Linked DNA regions of Arabidopsis thaliana. The protein of the gene in region 1 interacts with the protein of each later gene in a pairwise test. Each region holds a gene or a part of one and is shown on either strand. Other genes may lie near its edges. The genes, in order: CIPK5 and AT3G04300.

The links.
Region 2: the proteins of CIPK5 (region 1) and AT3G04300 interact in a two-hybrid assay, tested with the Arabidopsis thaliana proteins (one large-scale study listed by BioGRID).

The regions. Positions count from the first base shown.
Region 1 is NC_003076.8:3,443,188-3,452,191, reverse strand, and holds CIPK5 (CBL-interacting protein kinase 5), read left to right. Parts: upstream 1-4,913; 5' UTR 4,914-5,285; coding exon 5,286-6,623; 3' UTR 6,624-7,163; downstream 7,164-9,004. Other genes in the region: ASG2 (transducin family protein / WD-40 repeat family protein), read left to right, coding at 2-116, 617-756, 839-1,009, 1,099-1,209, 1,331-1,442, 1,915-2,246, 2,407-2,497, 2,630-2,725 and 3 more; AT5G10920 (L-Aspartase-like family protein), read right to left, coding at 8,300-8,554, 8,641-9,004. UniProt on the Arabidopsis thaliana protein: CIPK serine-threonine protein kinases interact with CBL proteins. Binding of a CBL protein to the regulatory NAF domain of CIPK protein lead to the activation of the kinase in a calcium-dependent manner.
Region 2 is NC_003074.8:1,135,488-1,144,174, forward strand, and holds AT3G04300 (RmlC-like cupins superfamily protein), read left to right. Parts: upstream 1-4,641; 5' UTR 4,642-4,830; coding exon 4,831-4,901; intron 4,902-5,016; coding exon 5,017-5,236; 3' UTR 5,237-5,573; downstream 5,574-8,687. Other genes in the region: LTL1 (Li-tolerant lipase 1), read right to left, coding at 277-404, 496-736; AT3G04310 (uncharacterized protein), read right to left, coding at 6,094-6,609, 6,748-7,041; AT3G04320 (Kunitz family trypsin and protease inhibitor protein), read left to right, coding at 8,256-8,687.

The DNA.
Region 1 (9,004 bases):
GGGGCGAACAAATTTGCACCTAACACATGTTACTTTCAGTCCTAATGGCGAAGAAGTTTTGCTCAGTTACAGTGGGGAGCATGTCTACCTGATGAATGTAAATAATGGTATTTGCAGTTGAGTTGTTTGCTGCTTAAAGCTTAAATTCCGTGAATAGTTAATCGTGCAGTATGAACTTGAATTTGTTAAGAAAAATAATTGAACTTCATATTGAAATATTTTGATTTATGTCGCTTTGTTTTCTTTTTTTTTTCCTGTTCATGCCCCTTTCAGTTCTGCTAAAGACATTGTAATCCTGCATGAAAAATTTCGATGGAACATTTGGAAAGTTATTGATATCCTCTGAGATTTCAAATGGATATGCTATTATGTGGCCCTTTTAAAAATTGGATTAAGGATGATGGATGTGTTAGCCCACCAGTTTTTTGCTTACCTTTTGTTATTTACATTTGTACTGCCAATCTGTACTTCACCACTTAGTTTAGAAATATTTTTCTTTGCTAGTTATCTTGTTTTAGGCACCTTTTCGCATTGAAAATGTCAGTTTTCCTAACATTTTGGTACTTTGACTTAAGCTCAATATATGATGATTCATTCCTTTGTTTGTGACTTGTAGGCACTGGAATCATGCAATACACACCAGGAGATGTAGATAACTTGTTTTCTTTCAGTAACAACCTCCACGATGTAGAATCTCCACCTCAGGTTTCCACCACTCCTCAAAATGGCTTTCACAGAAGTAGCAATGCTGCAACGGTTCGCACCTCCCTCTGTAATTGTTCCATATGGTGACCTTGTCATTCCATATTCTTAGTGCATCTGACGCCGTTCTTTTCAGGTTAAGAAGTGTACGGAATTGGTAGAAATTGCTAAATGGTCTTTAGAAGAGGGTACAGATGTTTTCTATGCAATTGAGGCAGCTAATGAAGTTCTGGATGCTCATTCTAATGATATTGAGTCTGCGCTAAGGCATGAATGCCTTTGTACTCGTGCCGCATTGTTACTCAAGGTCCTTTAGAACTGGTGTCTATAACTAGCTTGAATCCCTACATTACTCCTCTCTAATAACCATAATCAGCTGATTTGTTTATTTTTCAGAGGAAGTGGAAGAATGATGCTCATATGGCCGTAAGAGATTGCCATAATGCTCGGAGAATTGATGCTTCATCCTTTAAAGCTCATTACTACATGTCTGAAGCGCTGCAGCAAGTAAATTCATAGCTCTGATCACAGTTAATTTTAAGTTTACTATTTGACATAGAGATGGTTCTGCAATAAGCATTTATTTTAGTCACCCTTCCATTTCATATACATATGTGCTTTCACGCAGTTGGGAAAATGTAAAGAAGCTCTAGATTTTGCGACTGCTGCACAACATATGAACCCATCAGATGCCGATATAGTGGCAAAAGTGGAGAGCATTAAAAGGGATCTTCAAGCAGGTTTGTGCCAACTGATGTATGTCTTTTCCTGCAGGTTTGCTTAGTAACAGATGTTATCTACTTTCCTGCTGTTTCTGTTTTCCTCTATGAGCTAGGATAGAGGTTCAAGATGTTTCTGCTTAGATGTTTTTGTTTTTTGTTTTTTTAGGCTCTTCAATGAGTTATAACCACTCGTTTCTAGTAATCAATGTGGACACATGAGAGAAAATCTTAAGCATAGATTCGTAGTATCATCTTTAAGTCCATCTGGCTTCTCTTTCTACATCTAATTTTGTTGGTTAATATGTCTGATATTTCTTTTGATTCAAAAGTGTATCAAAGTAACAGATGTAGAGCTATTCTTTTAGATTTGGTGGATTCTTTCATTCCCAAGGAGTATTAATGTGCTTAGAAGCTTTCATGATTCAACAGGCAAGGGAATTTATATTCACATTTTAATATTCTTGTACTTGTCTTTTGTTTGACAAATCAGCTGGAGCTGAGAAAAACGAAGAGACAGGAGCTGGAACTACTAGAGTACTTTCTTTAAGCGACATACTATATAGATCAGAGGCCAACAGTGACAGTTCACATGATATGTCGAGATCCGAAAGAGAAGATTCTGATTATGATGAGGAATTGGAGTTGGATATTCAAACTTCGTTGTCTGATGATGAAGGACGAGATACAGACTCAAATTCTATGCGTGGCAGTCTCAACTTACGAATTCATAGAGTAGGTGATGATAAACCGATGGAAAATACAGTTGACAATGCCTCCTCAGGAACTGCATCGTCATCTCAAAATGATAGGACGTCTTATCAGGTTAGTTCTAAGATTATGGTATTGTTATTTATTTTAAAGCAAAACAAATTTAACACATTGAATACGTTTTAAGTTAGTACTTGACTTCTTTTATGCTGCGTCATACTTTTACCTAATTTGATGGATACCTTTTACACCAATGGTTTTTTGGTGATTATAGCCAGAGGGAGCCATTGATATGAAACGTAGATATGTTGGCCACTGTAACGTAGGAACTGATATTAAGCAGGCCAGTTTTCTTGGTCAGAGAGGTAAGTTTCTTGGGGTTGCAACTTTCATGTTATCTGAGTGCAATTTTCCATTCTAGTAGAAAAAGCGGTTTATAAAATTTGAAATTCAATACGGTATCGACTTTCTGTGAACATTTTATTACCAAATTTCAGGTGAATATATTGCAAGTGGAAGCGATGACGGTCGGTGGTTTATATGGGAGAAACAGACTGGAAGGCTTATGAAAGTGCTCGTTGGCGATGAATCAGGTGATCTTTTTTCCTTTCACATTTTATCCATTACATAAGTATCTTTTTTTTTCATTGAATTTCGAGTTGGCTAAAAGAATCATCTTTCGTCTCTAGTTTTGAACTGCATTCAATGCCATCCGTTTGATAGTGTTGTAGCAACGAGTGGAATTGATAACACAATAAAGGTAAGCAGGCACACAAAGCTGTCTTCAGGGTTTGGTTTTCATTTCGTGTAAGATCTCTAAAACTAACATTTGCATGTAAAAATATGTGTACAGATATGGAGCCCAACCGCATCAGTCCCATCAATTGTAGCAGGAGGATCAGCTGGACCAGCAACCGCCAATGTAGTGGAAGTAATGGAGAGTAATCAACAGAAGCTAAGCCGCAATCGAGAGAATCCTCTGTAAGTTTTCTGGGATAGGTGGTTTGAGTTAATATAAAAGCTCCAAGGCGGTTTCAGAGTACACAAAATGGGTTTGATGATTTGGTACATTGATGATTCATTTGCAGGTCTGTGGAGCTAATGCAAAGGTTTAGGATGCAAGAATTTGCAGAAGGAAACTTTCACCCATTTGAATGTACTCAGAGCTAAAGCAGGAGGGAACTGTAGAGGTATAATAAGCTTGCTTTGTGAAGGTGATGGTGGAATAACAATGGTTTTGAATATGAATAATGAATAATAAGGTTTGATTAGGTTTCATATGTAGCAAAAGCTTTCTCTCTGTAAAACTCATGCATAGCTTCCTTCTAAAAGCTTTTTTTGTTGTTGTTGTTGTTGTTGTACAGTTTGATATTGGCTTCTTCTTTTGAATGTGAATATTCATCGTTATTTTACATTGTTTTTTCATTTCTGTCGCGTTTAGTAGACAGCATAAGGCTGTATGTGTTATGTGTCCAATCTCGTTATTTTAATATAGACTTGTGGAGGAAGCTCTAACCACTTTGCTGCTTTAATTAATCTTGTCTAGTGTAAACTTTTTTACCTATTTATATATTGCTGCTGGGGGCACTTGCCTCCACAAGCCATAACGTGGGTCTGCCCCTGACTTTAGTATGTATTTGGACAAGGTATGCTTCTATTTGGACTAATCCCGCATACGTGTTTTTTTGTATACAATTATTAGTTATATTTTTATGGTGTTATTAATGGTTAGTAAAGTAGTCTAATTCCTGATCAGTAGACTAGATCCTAAAACATTCCTTGGTGGAACACAATAGATCTCCCTACTTTGAAGATAGTGACATGACATCCCTAAATAACGATTAGCTAGCCGTGCATTAAGTTTTGGCTAATAATCTTTTATCTTTTGATGATAAAAATGGAATTGAGCTATATGATTTAGAAACAAATTAATATTGTAAATGATTTTGAATTTTTGTTTTTAAAAAAAAATGGATATGTTAATTAGAATTTTCATGGTCTACTCACCAGAAACTTGATTTGTATGCTAGTTTATGAAATGATTTTAAAATAATTTAAATTTTTTATACGAAAGGTTGGGTGGAACCACCACATAAGATAAGGGGGACAAAAAGCATTAGACCGTTGGAGAGAATTATTGACATTATTTTAAGGAAGTTCTGTCAATAATTGATTACCTATTCCTTTTTCTCCGACGATATTTATTCGTGAAAAAGTAAAATTTAATAGAATTATAGAAAATCATAGCATTCAAACAGCATAATCTTATTTGATGATAACATAATCTAAAGTTTAGGTTATGTTATTTACACATACTGTGTTATATTTACCTATTTAAATTGCCTATTTCCTTTGACGTTGATTATTATTTTGACACTGTTTTATTTTCTTCTAGAAATTGGTGTATTGTAAAATAATAGAAAATTTTAAGTGTTACGTTATACAAAAATGATTTAACATTATAAGGTAATAGAGAATATTAAAAAAAAAAAAAACATACATATGACCCCCAAAGTCTTAGAAATAATTGTTAGCATCTAGTTTTGTCCAAGTAATTAACAAATTAAGAAAGGAAAAAACACAAGAGACATTGTTCTGAATGTTGTTCTTAAGAATAAAATCTAGCAAACAATATGCCGTGTGTAGAAATATAGAAGGTTATACAAAATTCTTTATGTACAACACTATAACAAAACAAAAACAAAATCTAGTACCCATAATTTTTTTAACTGCAAACAATATGTTTTAAATGATGACCATTTTTTTTTTTTTTTTTTTTTTGTAAAAAAAACTTATTTTCCATATAAAAAACAAATTCCAAAGAAAAAGTAAAGTTATTGCAGTGTGACATGTGTGACTTTGTGAGTGGCTTATCACCTTGTCTATAAATTCAAAGAGTGTTCAGTATATAATAAGAGGACACCACGTAGCTGCGTTTGTGATTCATTTGCACACTTCTTCTTCTTCTTCCTCATTTCTCTTCCTCTCCCATATTCCATGGAATTGCTCTACTTCTTCACCTATGAGAGTAATATATCCTCATGTACTCAAAATACTAATCAAACTTCATGCTTCAACACCACCTTTTCTTAATCCTCCTTCTTCATCTTCTTCTTCCACTATTTCATTTTCCCTAGTCGGTGTAAATATCAAATGGAGGAAGAACGGCGAGTTCTGTTCGGAAAGTACGAGATGGGAAGGTTATTAGGCAAAGGAACCTTCGCCAAAGTCTATTACGGCAAAGAGATCATCGGCGGCGAGTGCGTCGCAATCAAAGTCATCAACAAGGATCAAGTAATGAAGAGACCTGGAATGATGGAACAAATCAAACGCGAGATTTCAATCATGAAGCTCGTTCGTCATCCCAACATAGTTGAATTGAAAGAAGTCATGGCTACGAAGACCAAGATCTTCTTCGTCATGGAGTTCGTTAAAGGCGGCGAGCTTTTCTGCAAAATCTCTAAAGGTAAGTTACACGAAGACGCTGCTCGTAGATATTTCCAGCAATTGATCTCAGCCGTTGATTATTGCCATAGTAGAGGCGTTTCTCATCGCGATCTGAAACCTGAGAATCTTCTTTTAGATGAGAATGGAGATTTGAAAATCTCCGATTTCGGATTATCTGCGTTACCGGAACAGATTCTTCAAGACGGATTGCTTCATACGCAGTGTGGAACTCCGGCGTATGTTGCGCCGGAGGTATTAAAGAAGAAAGGATACGACGGCGCGAAAGCTGATATCTGGTCGTGCGGCGTCGTTTTGTATGTTCTTCTCGCCGGATGTTTGCCGTTTCAAGATGAGAATCTGATGAATATGTATCGGAAGATTTTCAGAGCGGATTTTGAATTTCCGCCGTGGTTTTCTCCGGAAGCGAGGAGGTTGATTTCGAAACTCCTCGTTGTAGATCCAGATCGACGGATCTCGATTCCGGCGATTATGAGAACGCCTTGGCTCCGGAAAAACTTCACTCCGCCGTTAGCTTTCAAAATCGACGAACCGATTTGTTCTCAAAGCAGCAAAAACAACGAAGAAGAAGAAGAAGACGGAGATTGTGAAAATCAAACAGAGCCGATATCGCCGAAATTCTTCAACGCTTTCGAATTCATATCCTCGATGTCTTCCGGATTTGACTTATCGAGCTTGTTCGAGAGCAAGAGGAAAGTGCAATCGGTGTTTACGTCACGGTCGTCGGCGACGGAGGTAATGGAGAAGATAGAAACGGTTACGAAGGAGATGAACATGAAAGTGAAGAGAACGAAGGATTTTAAAGTGAAGATGGAAGGGAAAACGGAAGGGAGAAAAGGACGGTTGTCGATGACGGCGGAAGTGTTTGAAGTAGCGCCGGAGATATCGGTGGTGGAGTTTTGCAAATCGGCGGGAGATACTTTGGAGTACGATAGGTTATACGAAGAAGAAGTACGGCCGGCGTTAAACGACATCGTCTGGTCATGGCACGGTGATAATAATAACACTTCTTCCGAGGATTGTTGAATCAGTAGTTTTTGGTTCTGATTTAACCGGTTATCGGTTAACGTAGTATAACTAAGAACTGTTACATTGAACCCAAATTTTCTTTGGTTTAATAAAATTTTGGTTTTACTTCTTTTTCTTTGGTAAGGATTTTGATTTTGCTTCTAATTGAACCTAATTGTGTTGTTTTTAGGTACAAATGAATAAATAATTTGGGTTCAGATTAAATTAATCGACAATTAAGGGTATGTTAAGTCGAAAACGAAAATGACTATGAGTCGGGTTGTGGTTTAGAAGACCGACACGTGTGGTTTCTCAGAGACTTCGAAAAGATTCACCTTCTGTTATGAAGTCAAATCATTTGAATTTTGAAGTTCAAATAGTTAGTGGAGAGGACAAAGTCACAACAAATTAATTTATTTATGGGATCCGACGACTTTTTTTCATTAGTTTTCTTCTACATGTCCAACTTTGAATTGTAGCTGGGCATGATCGTAAGATAGAAGATTAGATGTGATTGATGGGATGAAGATAATGCTAATCTGAATTTTCTGCATAAATGAGTATGTTTATGTGTATTCAGTCTATCAAAATTACCCATTTCATACCATATGTTTACTATCATATTTTGTAATTTTTTTAGAAGCATAATAATGTAATAACCTAAAGAACAAAAAATATCGACTACATCATGCAAGAAGTTTCGAAGAAACCCAATCCTGTAAGAATTAATGGCGTATAAGTTATACTAAGTGAAAGAAAAATCCCCCAAAAAGTTAAAATGGATACAGACAAAAACAAGGATTAAAAGATAACAAGAGTAATGAGGTTCACCAGTAAACTCAATCCATTAAGAAAGAAATGGAGCTTTCACCATAATTAATATCCGACCAATAATCTAAAAAAAGGATCAATCAGTGGCTAACATGGGATTTTAGGACAAGGGTTGTGTCACAGTCAGAAAGTGACTCCACCAACATCAAATGGATAGTATTAAATCGAGTGTTTTTTGTTAAGATTAGATTTAACTATTTTAGGAGAAGAGAAACACCAATGAGGTTATTACTGGTACGTATTTGTGTCACTTTATGTTTGGTCATAATAAAATGGAGGATGACATTTTGTTTGGAACATAAAAAGGATATTGTAAGTTGTAACAGATGTTGCACCTCCTAAGGAAGAGGGTGTGTCATGTCATGTGTGGTCCTCCCCCATGTTCAAAAAAAATCACATCCAAATGCAATCCACTAGTTTTTGTTGTTGTATTTCTGAACAATAATTGGGTTTGAAAAAGAAGAAAACAAAAATTCAAAAAACTCAAATGAAAATTGAAGTCTGCATTGACAAAGTATTCTTGAAATTTAAAGACATGTTCAAATCACAACCTAACTCCAATGCACTTCCCTTGATCCAACTTCTTAAGCTTTGGGCAAATATCCACAAGTTTGGAGTTAATCTTCTTCTCATTGTAGAATATAAAAAGATTGATATTGTAGAGAGCATTGAAATGAGAAGAATACCAAACTCTTCCACATTATCTCGATTTCAAATATTACAAAACTTATTTTGTTTGTGGGTCTTCTCAAACCGCTGCAACATGTTGCTTGAAATCTTCCTGGTATTAACGACAAAAATCCTCAATAAATATGAAAATTACACAAACGTCATCAAATCTTTTGCTAATGGTTTGGTCCGGATCAGGTGGAAGTAATGTTGAGCTTGTTGACCCAGTAGCCAAGTTGCTCAGCAACACAGTTTGATCCTGTTGACCCATAGGAACTGAACTTATTGACTGAATTTTCAACCCCCAAAAATCCAAACACATCTTCTTCAAACACAGGGCTCAGCTTTTTCATCTCTTCAAGACTTAAGTTCTGAAGTTCACAGCCTTTTGAGACGCAAACTCCAACTAGTTTTCCAACTATGTCATGAGATGACCTAAAAGGCATCCCCTGGGAAATCAAAAAACCAAAACAGTATTTATCTTTCTGACTTCAGTTACAAAAATGGAAGATATGATAAATAAAAACCACATTACCTTCTTCACAAGATAATCAGCGAGAGTAGTCGCATCAAGATGTCCTGCGGGAAGACTTTTCTTGATTCTGTCTTCGTTGAATGTAACATTCTGAGCAAATTCTGCAGATACATCGATCATTCCCATTATTGTCTTGGTACTATCGAACATCGGCTCTTTGTCTTCTTGAAAATCTCTGTTGTAAGCAAGGGGAAGTCCTTTGCACAGTGTTAAGACAGTGACCAGATCGCCTATGACTCTTGCGGATTTTCCTCTGACAAGTTCCATTGGGTCTGGATTTTTCTTCTGTGGCATTATACTACTTCCGGTTGACACAGAATCACTTGGAGTCATGAACCCAAACTCCTCGGAAGCCCACAGTACC
Region 2 (8,687 bases), on another chromosome or scaffold:
CACTGGTTTTCATTGAGAAATCAAGGATAATGTTGTCAATCACGTGTTTTTGAGTTTTCGCGGAGTAACATGTCAAGAAGACGAATATACCCTCAGTTATTGAGGATGATCTTATGTGTATTTTTTTTTTCGTTTTCTTACTTCTGAGGCAATATTACCCTCGACACGAGAGTTAATGGAGAGGGTAAACACGTCTTGTCGTGTCGTGCATTAATATCAGCAACACTTGAATGCGTATTTAATGCAAGAATTTTAAAATTGATTGGATATGCTTACGAATTGAATTCCAGTGTCGTTGAGGATTCCAATTCCTGCGGAGGCAAAATTAGCACCGACTAGAAGATTTTCTCCGGTGAGATGCGGGCTAAGGTACGGCAAAGTCGACGGCATGCCTATAGCCTCACCTAGTAGAGAGAGAGACATATTAAACAAACATTAAAGATTGATTAACGAACCATTATATCGTATAACCATGCTTGAATCAAATATGCTTACTGATAATGTCGGGAATGTTAAGGCCGTTAGAGAAACGTCCGGTGGGTCTACGGGTCGGGTAGTCGATACCATACGGGTAATTGTCGGCACGGGCAGTGGTGACGAGGTAGTCGTTGTTTCCATTGTCGACGAGAGAGTCACCAAAGACAAAGAAAGCCCTAGATTTGACTTGTGGTGCAAGAAAAGTAACAATGAAGAAGAGTGAAATTAGAAACCCTAATGGAGAACAATTGATATTCATTGTTATGGACAGAGAATGGGACTAGATGACGAATGAGAAGAAACGTTTATAAATTGACGTATGATATGAGAGCATATGGAGAGTGTGTGTTATATATATACACTGACAATAGGTTTAGGGTTCAATAAGTAATGTGTATCTGTTTTTTTTTTTTTTTTTTTTTCGTTGTTGGTGTGATTTTAAGAAAATAGAGACATTAATAGAGGCTGCCAACTGATACACCATAAAAATTGGTCTTGTTTGTTGTTTGGATGTAATAAATGTTAGAAATTGTACTACTGCTTGTTCTCCTAAAATGGAATTATCTTTCAACCATTGAAATTCGATGTGACATAATTTTTTTGATTGACGGTTACTGATCTCAATGTCTGCAATCTACGTGTAAATTTTGAAGTGATTAGGTATATGTATATCGATCCAAAGAAACTAATCTTTACCGTTCTTCATCTCCATTTTTGTGTAGTTTTGTGTTTATATCCAATGTCACAAATCGAGATGCAGTGACCGGACGGTCCCCAAAGAAACCATATTGTATAACCCATCCATTTCGAACTACTTGGTTAATATGTGAAATATCTATATGCTATATAGTTAACGTAACATACGTGAATTTAGGCGGCTCATCAATCATATCCTCTCCTTTTTTTGTCATGGGTTTTACATGACATAATATTTAATATTGAAAACTAAAAATGTTTCCATCAGCTGATGGATGGATAAATTTAAACTAGACTTCACTAAGATTTATACAATGTCAAACTCATGCCATCTAAATGTTCAATTACGAGAAGTTCAATTGGTTAAATATATATTTTTGGATAAACTTTTTCTGTCCAACTATGCCTCCCCTTTGAACGTTATCACATTAACGCGTACTACCTACGAATTTTCAAAGCTGGAATATTACATAAATAAAGCATCCAGAAAGAAAGAGAAAAGCATTCAAAAAAAAAAAGAAGGTGTATATAACAATTAGAGCCATTGATGTCAATGTAATGGGTCGTGTTCAATACCATACTTTTTGAAAATCTTGATGTATTTTATAGTAGGAGTGTTGTTCAATTTGGTTGGTGTGTAATTATAAAATGTATTTTAATTTGTTTTCTTGAAATGCGGGTTATGCTTGATATTTTCTAGGATAAAATTACACAAACCATTTGATGTTTTCATGAAATTGGTAAAAGAGCAATTATACTACTTGTTAATTAATCATATACACCTTATGTTTGTTAATACATGAGACTTGAAAATGTTGACTTAACAAATTACGATGCATAAATGGATAATTCAGAATACATTCCACTAATTACTCAAGAATGATCAAAAGAAGACTTTTCATTTGTCTTGATTTTTATACTACTAAGTAATTTTCTGTATAAATAAAATTATTGGAGAGAGAGAGATAGAAGTGAAATTAAGAGATCTACCAACTCAACCAACTCACGTCATAAATTAACATGATGAAGCTACCCTGTCCGACTGCATCATGATTTATGAATTTTGATTTTTTGAAAAATACATTAAAAAAAAAACGTAAAATATCATCTCCAAATCATACCAACCTTTTCCGGCTATTTAATTAGTTACTTTTTTTTCTTCTTTTTTTTGATAAAATTCGTTACCATAAAGGTGAAAATATATCAGTGTCTTTATTCGTAAAGTTATACAGTAAAATTAAATGATGTCTATCCGTAAACAAAAACCAACCAACACAAAGTTTTTCTGTAGAAGAAAATAGACTTTTTAAATATAAAATTATATCAAAGAAACAGAATGGCCCAAAATAAAAACTTCACTGTACCACTATGGAAAATCATGGTTTTGTTTTGGGCTCTCTGCTTGCGTTAGGACTCCACAAACATCTCACAAGCCCAAATGATCAACAAACTTGACCCATGAGAATGAATTTGAAAAGCTCATTAAAATTCAACAAAGTTTCCGAATCAATTCGACTTTGGTTTGGTTAAACCAAACAGAATTGGAGCATTCTAACACAATGGAATTCTGGAGAGAAGATCGATTCCAAGCTCCTTTGCATTGTGATCCAGCACTGGTTAATCAACCCAACTAGATTAGTCTAAAACTGAATCGAATTCGTTTCTTTCCTTTTCCAAATGATACCTCGCCAGAGATCATCTACTTCTACTCTTTATAAACCTTAAACCGAACCAGAAGTAAACCTGAATTAATAATAATTACTTATATTTACTTTTCTGTGCATTCGTAACTAGTGAGTATCTTTTCTTTTTGTTCTATGAAGTATCCTTAATTCCTTTGTTTTGGTGTCAAAATCCTCAATTCCTTTTGCAGCCAAAATTCGTGACCCTAGATCTTAAAAACTTTTGGTCATGCAAGTGTTTAGAGTGGAATTATATATCCTACACTTTTGAGTTGTTTATATCTATACTTCACTTTTCAAAGCATCTAATTAGTGAAAGTTCAAATTTGTTATGTTTAGACAAACCAAATTTTTAGTTGGCTTTTCATGTGTATTGGTTTGATACGGCAATGTTTGGGTGCTTGAACCTAAAAATAAAGGATTGAGTTCGAATATTTCCTATATACACCATACCTTTGAGATTTGTATTTGATTAGATAAACAAGAGTGTAGCTCTAGTTATAAATGATAAATAAAATCAAGCTTATAAGATCATACAGATGAATAGATTATTACCCTGAAATTTTAACTTATTCCCAAAACAAAAGCTGTTGATTTTAAGATCATTAGGATTTAATTTACCACTGATCCCAAACATGTCCGATGTAGAAAATTGTCAACTTCCTTGGAAATGTAAGTGGAAAATTAGGAACTCAGTAAAACACCAAGCTTTTGTGTACAAACTTTCTTCGAGATCTGAGAGTAAAGGTTTTCGATGTGTGGAAATATGACCAGACCAAACCAAAGCAAGACCCTGTTCTCAAATTCACAAGGGTGTTCACATGGAGTTTTTTTTTTTTTTTTTTTTTTTTTCATTCTGAACCTATCTGCCATTCTTTATCACTTGTTCATACTACAGAGACAGAAAATTGCAAATATACTAGCATTCAAATTTGAGGATATGTGAATTTATGCATGCATATATTAGGAGATACATATATACTAGAAACAACCAATAATCCTCACATGCCATGGCATGTTAGAATAAAAAAAAAAACAAGCAGAGCCAGTTGAGGAAGCAGCCAAACTTGAGGGGGCTACACAAATCAATGTCCGGAATTATCACGTATCTTCTAATGAAGAATCAGTCAAACATTTTCGAAACTAAAAACCAAAACCATATAACAAATACACTGAAGATATGAATACTCTTCACAGAATAACTATCGATTAGTTACTGTGTAACTGATCTCAAAACTACACAAATCCAGATACCAGATTAATAGTGCGATCGCAACAGCTGAATAACTGATCCTCAAGCTACACAAATCTAGACTAATAGTGCATAAAACAGCTGAAAAAAGTTAGATCCTATATTAATCCTCTCGAGTGTACCCACTTGATCACTGCAGAATTCACATGGTGGCTACATTGTCCGGAGACTTGTGTCTGAGTTTCAGCTCAGAAGACTCGTTAACACTGTGAAAAGGAAAGCATAGTGGACGCGGGGACAAAACAGAAGGGGTCCATGTGGTTGGAGACTTGATCTGGATAGATCATTAAAGCTTGTTGAGAGACTAGCTCAGCATTTTGCCTTCTAGAGGAGAAACTTTCTTAATCAGATTAATGCAATCAAGAAAAATAGAAAACCAGAGAATTTGTAGTATGAACCACTTCTAGAAGGACTATCTAACACAATAAGCTTAATGAATGTATTTGTTGACTTGGTTTTGTATCTATCCTGGGTCAAAGTGTTTCTTTAAAGATTCCTCCTCTCTCCTATTATCCCTTTCAATAGAAGGGAAAAAAGAAGAAGTCACTTTATTCATACCTGGTTTTATAAATACATACACATGCAGACCAACTACTCCGTCCTTCACCATATAAATACATCTCATATACCTACTTTCTTCTTATCTTTGTTCTCACTGTTTCTTTCTGTTCTATCTAATAACATTGAAACATCGTCGAATTCTCACCTTATTCCTCTTCCAAAATGAATATTGTAATCGAAAACAACCCTTCGAGCAGAAGGTTATCTGACCTTGGAGTCATGTCATGGCCTAAGTAAGTATCAAACATGCACATGCTCTGCTCCTATTACTACTAACTACATAGATTTTCACTTTTTCCATTCCTCAATTTATTGGTAATAACATGATGAATCTCTCTGACAAAACAGATGGTCTTGTCAGCCGGGGAAATATGCATTGGTATTTGAAGAAAGAGAGACATGCTATTTGGTGAAGGGAAAGGTGAAGGTGTATCCAAAAGGGTCATCTGAGTTTGTAGAGTTTGGTGCAGGAGACCTTGTGACCATCCCCAAGGGACTTAGCTGCACTTGGGATGTATCACTTTTCATAGACAAACACTACAAGTTCGATCCTCCTACTTCTCCATAATTTTTCCTAACTACAATCTAGTTTTGGGTTAGTCTTTATCACCACGAAGCATAAAAGACTCTATATTCAGACAATAAAATATAGAAGAGAAACCAAAAAGATAATGCTTAGGATACGTGTAAAGCCCTTCCTAGATTATGTTTTCAGATGTAACTTCTTTGTTTCTCATAGAACAAACAATCGGCACATGCCAATATTCGTTTCACTTTGAAACTTCTGTTTATCTGGAAAACAGTAGATCAAATCACGCGTAAAGCAGAGATATGAACTCCTGTTTCGTACTAAAGAAACTTGCTAAATGAAGGATTCCCTATTAACTGATATTGTTCTTTACTCTTAAAATAGTCTTTATCAAAGATTCTTATCATGAGGCCATTGGTTCCTATCACTAATAAAAACAAATAAAGAACCCTTTGAATGTTTAAATATAACATGTGAAGCAAATAAATGTGAAAGCATATATTCTAGCAGTATTGCTACCTGACTAGATAAAGTAGAAGAGTATGTAATCTTAAATCTCACATACTAAAGAAACAGTAGCAGCAGCATCTGGTACGCCATCACCAATTATTAGTGCTGGTTATATAAAAAATGAAGATACTAATTAGGCTGTACAAAACAAGAACTATTACACGTTTGTATTTATAGAAACAAAAATCTGACAGGCATATATTCTCAACTTACAGAATATGCATAGTTATCACAAGTAAGAGGTGTATTCTAACTTCTAAGTTCCAAGATAATTGAAAGCTAACCTTTATGATTCCAGGAAGATTGAATTCATTTGACGACCAACCGCGAGAGAAACTCTTGTCCTTTTTCAAACCGCGTGTATAAGGACTTAGATAAATCCCTTGTCAAAACAACAATTTGGTCCATGAACCCAAAAAAGGGAAGGCAGCAATTAGCATCCTCAAGAGCAATGGCTTCTCCTTAACTCTCCACCGCCGAGTAGCCTTTCTTTCAAACTGTTGTTTTGGACGAACATTCTCGTTTAATGGATTGTCATTTCTAATCTCCCTTAGCGTATCTAGATCATCCCATCCTCCATAGCCAGTACCCATGCTGTTAGAATCATCATCTCCTACTATCCATGACTTGTATCCTCCCTTATCTACACCACCCCTCATGTTTCCTCCTTGCCTAGCTTTCCTTGTTCTTCCACTACTTACACTCGCAGATCTCGAAAATGTATCTCTTCTACTTCTTTTCATAGACCTAATGCTTGGCCTGCTCCAAACTTTACTAACCACAAGAGACAACACAGATTGCACTAAAGGAACTGCTAATGCCATTACACCCGCGTTTGAATCTGTTCCAAGAAGCAAAGATATGCCAATTGGTGCAAGCATCCAACTCAATGTTCTAAATACCTGCAATTAAAACAAAACCTCTAAAATTGGCTAAACAGAGCTAACAACTAAACATAAACCATTGTGAATCTAAAGTGAGCAACTTTAAAGTGAGATTCAACATTACAGTTCTTAAATTCCAAAAAGAAGAAGTAATACCTCAAAAACCATAGACCAGTCTTCTTCTTCTTCATTCATCCAATCATCGTTGTCGTCATCGTCATCATCATCATCAAGCCACCAAGGCCTCTTCTTTTTACGGTTTCCGAACTCAAACGAAGCAAAACCTTCGTCGCGGAAGAGCTCCTCCTCCCAGCTAGGACCGCGGGAGGCGCGGCAATCAAAGGAACCGCGGCTCACGATATTTGGGCAGAGATCAAAATCGCAGTTTAGAGAACAGAATCTGCCTCTGACGACGCAAGAAGAAAGCTGAAGATACAGCAGATTCGCCATCCACAAACTGATGATTATTAGCGTTTACATTCAACACATTCCATAAGAACAAAACTGGAGAACGAACAGAAAAATCAATTCTTTCCCATCCACAAACTCTGTTCTTCGCTTTAATCGCTCCTTGCTAAAGAACAGTGATAGAGAGTTAAACCAACTTAAACCAAACCGAACCTCAACTACAGAAATAAAACCAATGTTTTTATTTAACCAAAACCAAACCGGAACCAAAATTCCTTGGTAACACCAAGCCAGCCGAATTAAAACAAATTCGAAGACATGGTAATTGGTAACAAAGGGGACAAAACATGTACCATTTTTTTTTTAACGTTCCTAAACTTGTAAGTTGTAAGAATTGTGCATTAACCATTTATATGTGAGAAATATCTTACATTATAAGACATTGACCATTTATATGTGATATACAAGAGGGATATGTGGTCAATTCATCGTCAGCATGGTGGTAATTGGTAAAATATGTCAAATTAATTATGACATATTAGTCATTCTCTTCGTGAGAGTGAACGTGAAAAAAAGAAGGTATATTGTCGGAGTGAGCCAATATCATCATCTCAAATGGTTATATACAAGGAATATGCATGGATCATGGATCAATTCATGCATGCTGTATCCTAAGGCCATGAATGTTTGTAGTTTTTAAAATGGTTTTTGGATTTTGGATTTTGGTTTTTGGTTTTTAGTTTTTGATTTTCTTGGGTTTTGTTTTTGGTGTAGATTTTAGTTTCTTAAAAAACTTGAATGGTAATTTGTTTAGATTTTGGTTTTTATGTTAATGGATAGTATTTTTTTTACAAAACAAATCTAAAAATAAAATAAAAAATGTGATCGATTGTTTTTGAGAGAGAAACTCCCAAAACATAGATTTTGGTTTTCTTTGAAAAATTGTTAAAACACTCAAAAACTAGATTTCCTATATTTTAGGAAAACTTGTTTTTTCAAAATCTTGAATGGCTACAAAATAGATTTTAGAAAAAATTAAAACTAAAAACTAGTTTAAAAACCACACTCATTCAAGGCCTTAATACTATGTTTGGAGCGTGTGTTTTAATCATTTTTAACTAGTATTATAGCTTTGACTCAGATCCACTCTGTAAACCAGATCCATATGGTAAGGAAAAAATAAATTGTTAAGAAGCAAGGTCAACATGAGGAGTAGAAAGAAGACAAAAAAGAACGTGTATTGTAACCAACCCATTATGTCCATAATCTCTATAAAAGGAAACTCAAGACAAGAACACAAAAGCAAGAAGATCAGAAACAACACAAAGATGAAAACATTCCAATTGATGATGATCTCTTTCTTGTTCGTTGCAATAACAACAACATCCGGTGTGGTTAGTGAGGGTAACGACGTAGTTTATGACGGCGAAGGAGATCCGGTTAAGCCCAACGTTCCATATTACATCAGCTTCATGACGTCGGATTACAACATGTGGATCTGCCGAATGCAATATGGATCTACTGATCCCAACTCATGCCCACAACAACCGTTAATGGTCACTCATCCAAATTTAGCAGCACCAACACCAGTTATGTTTGTATTAGCAAACAAGTCAGATGTCGTACGTGAATCAGCCAAACTTAAGATTAAGTTCGTAGGTCCCCGTCAGTGTGGTAAATCCGGGTTT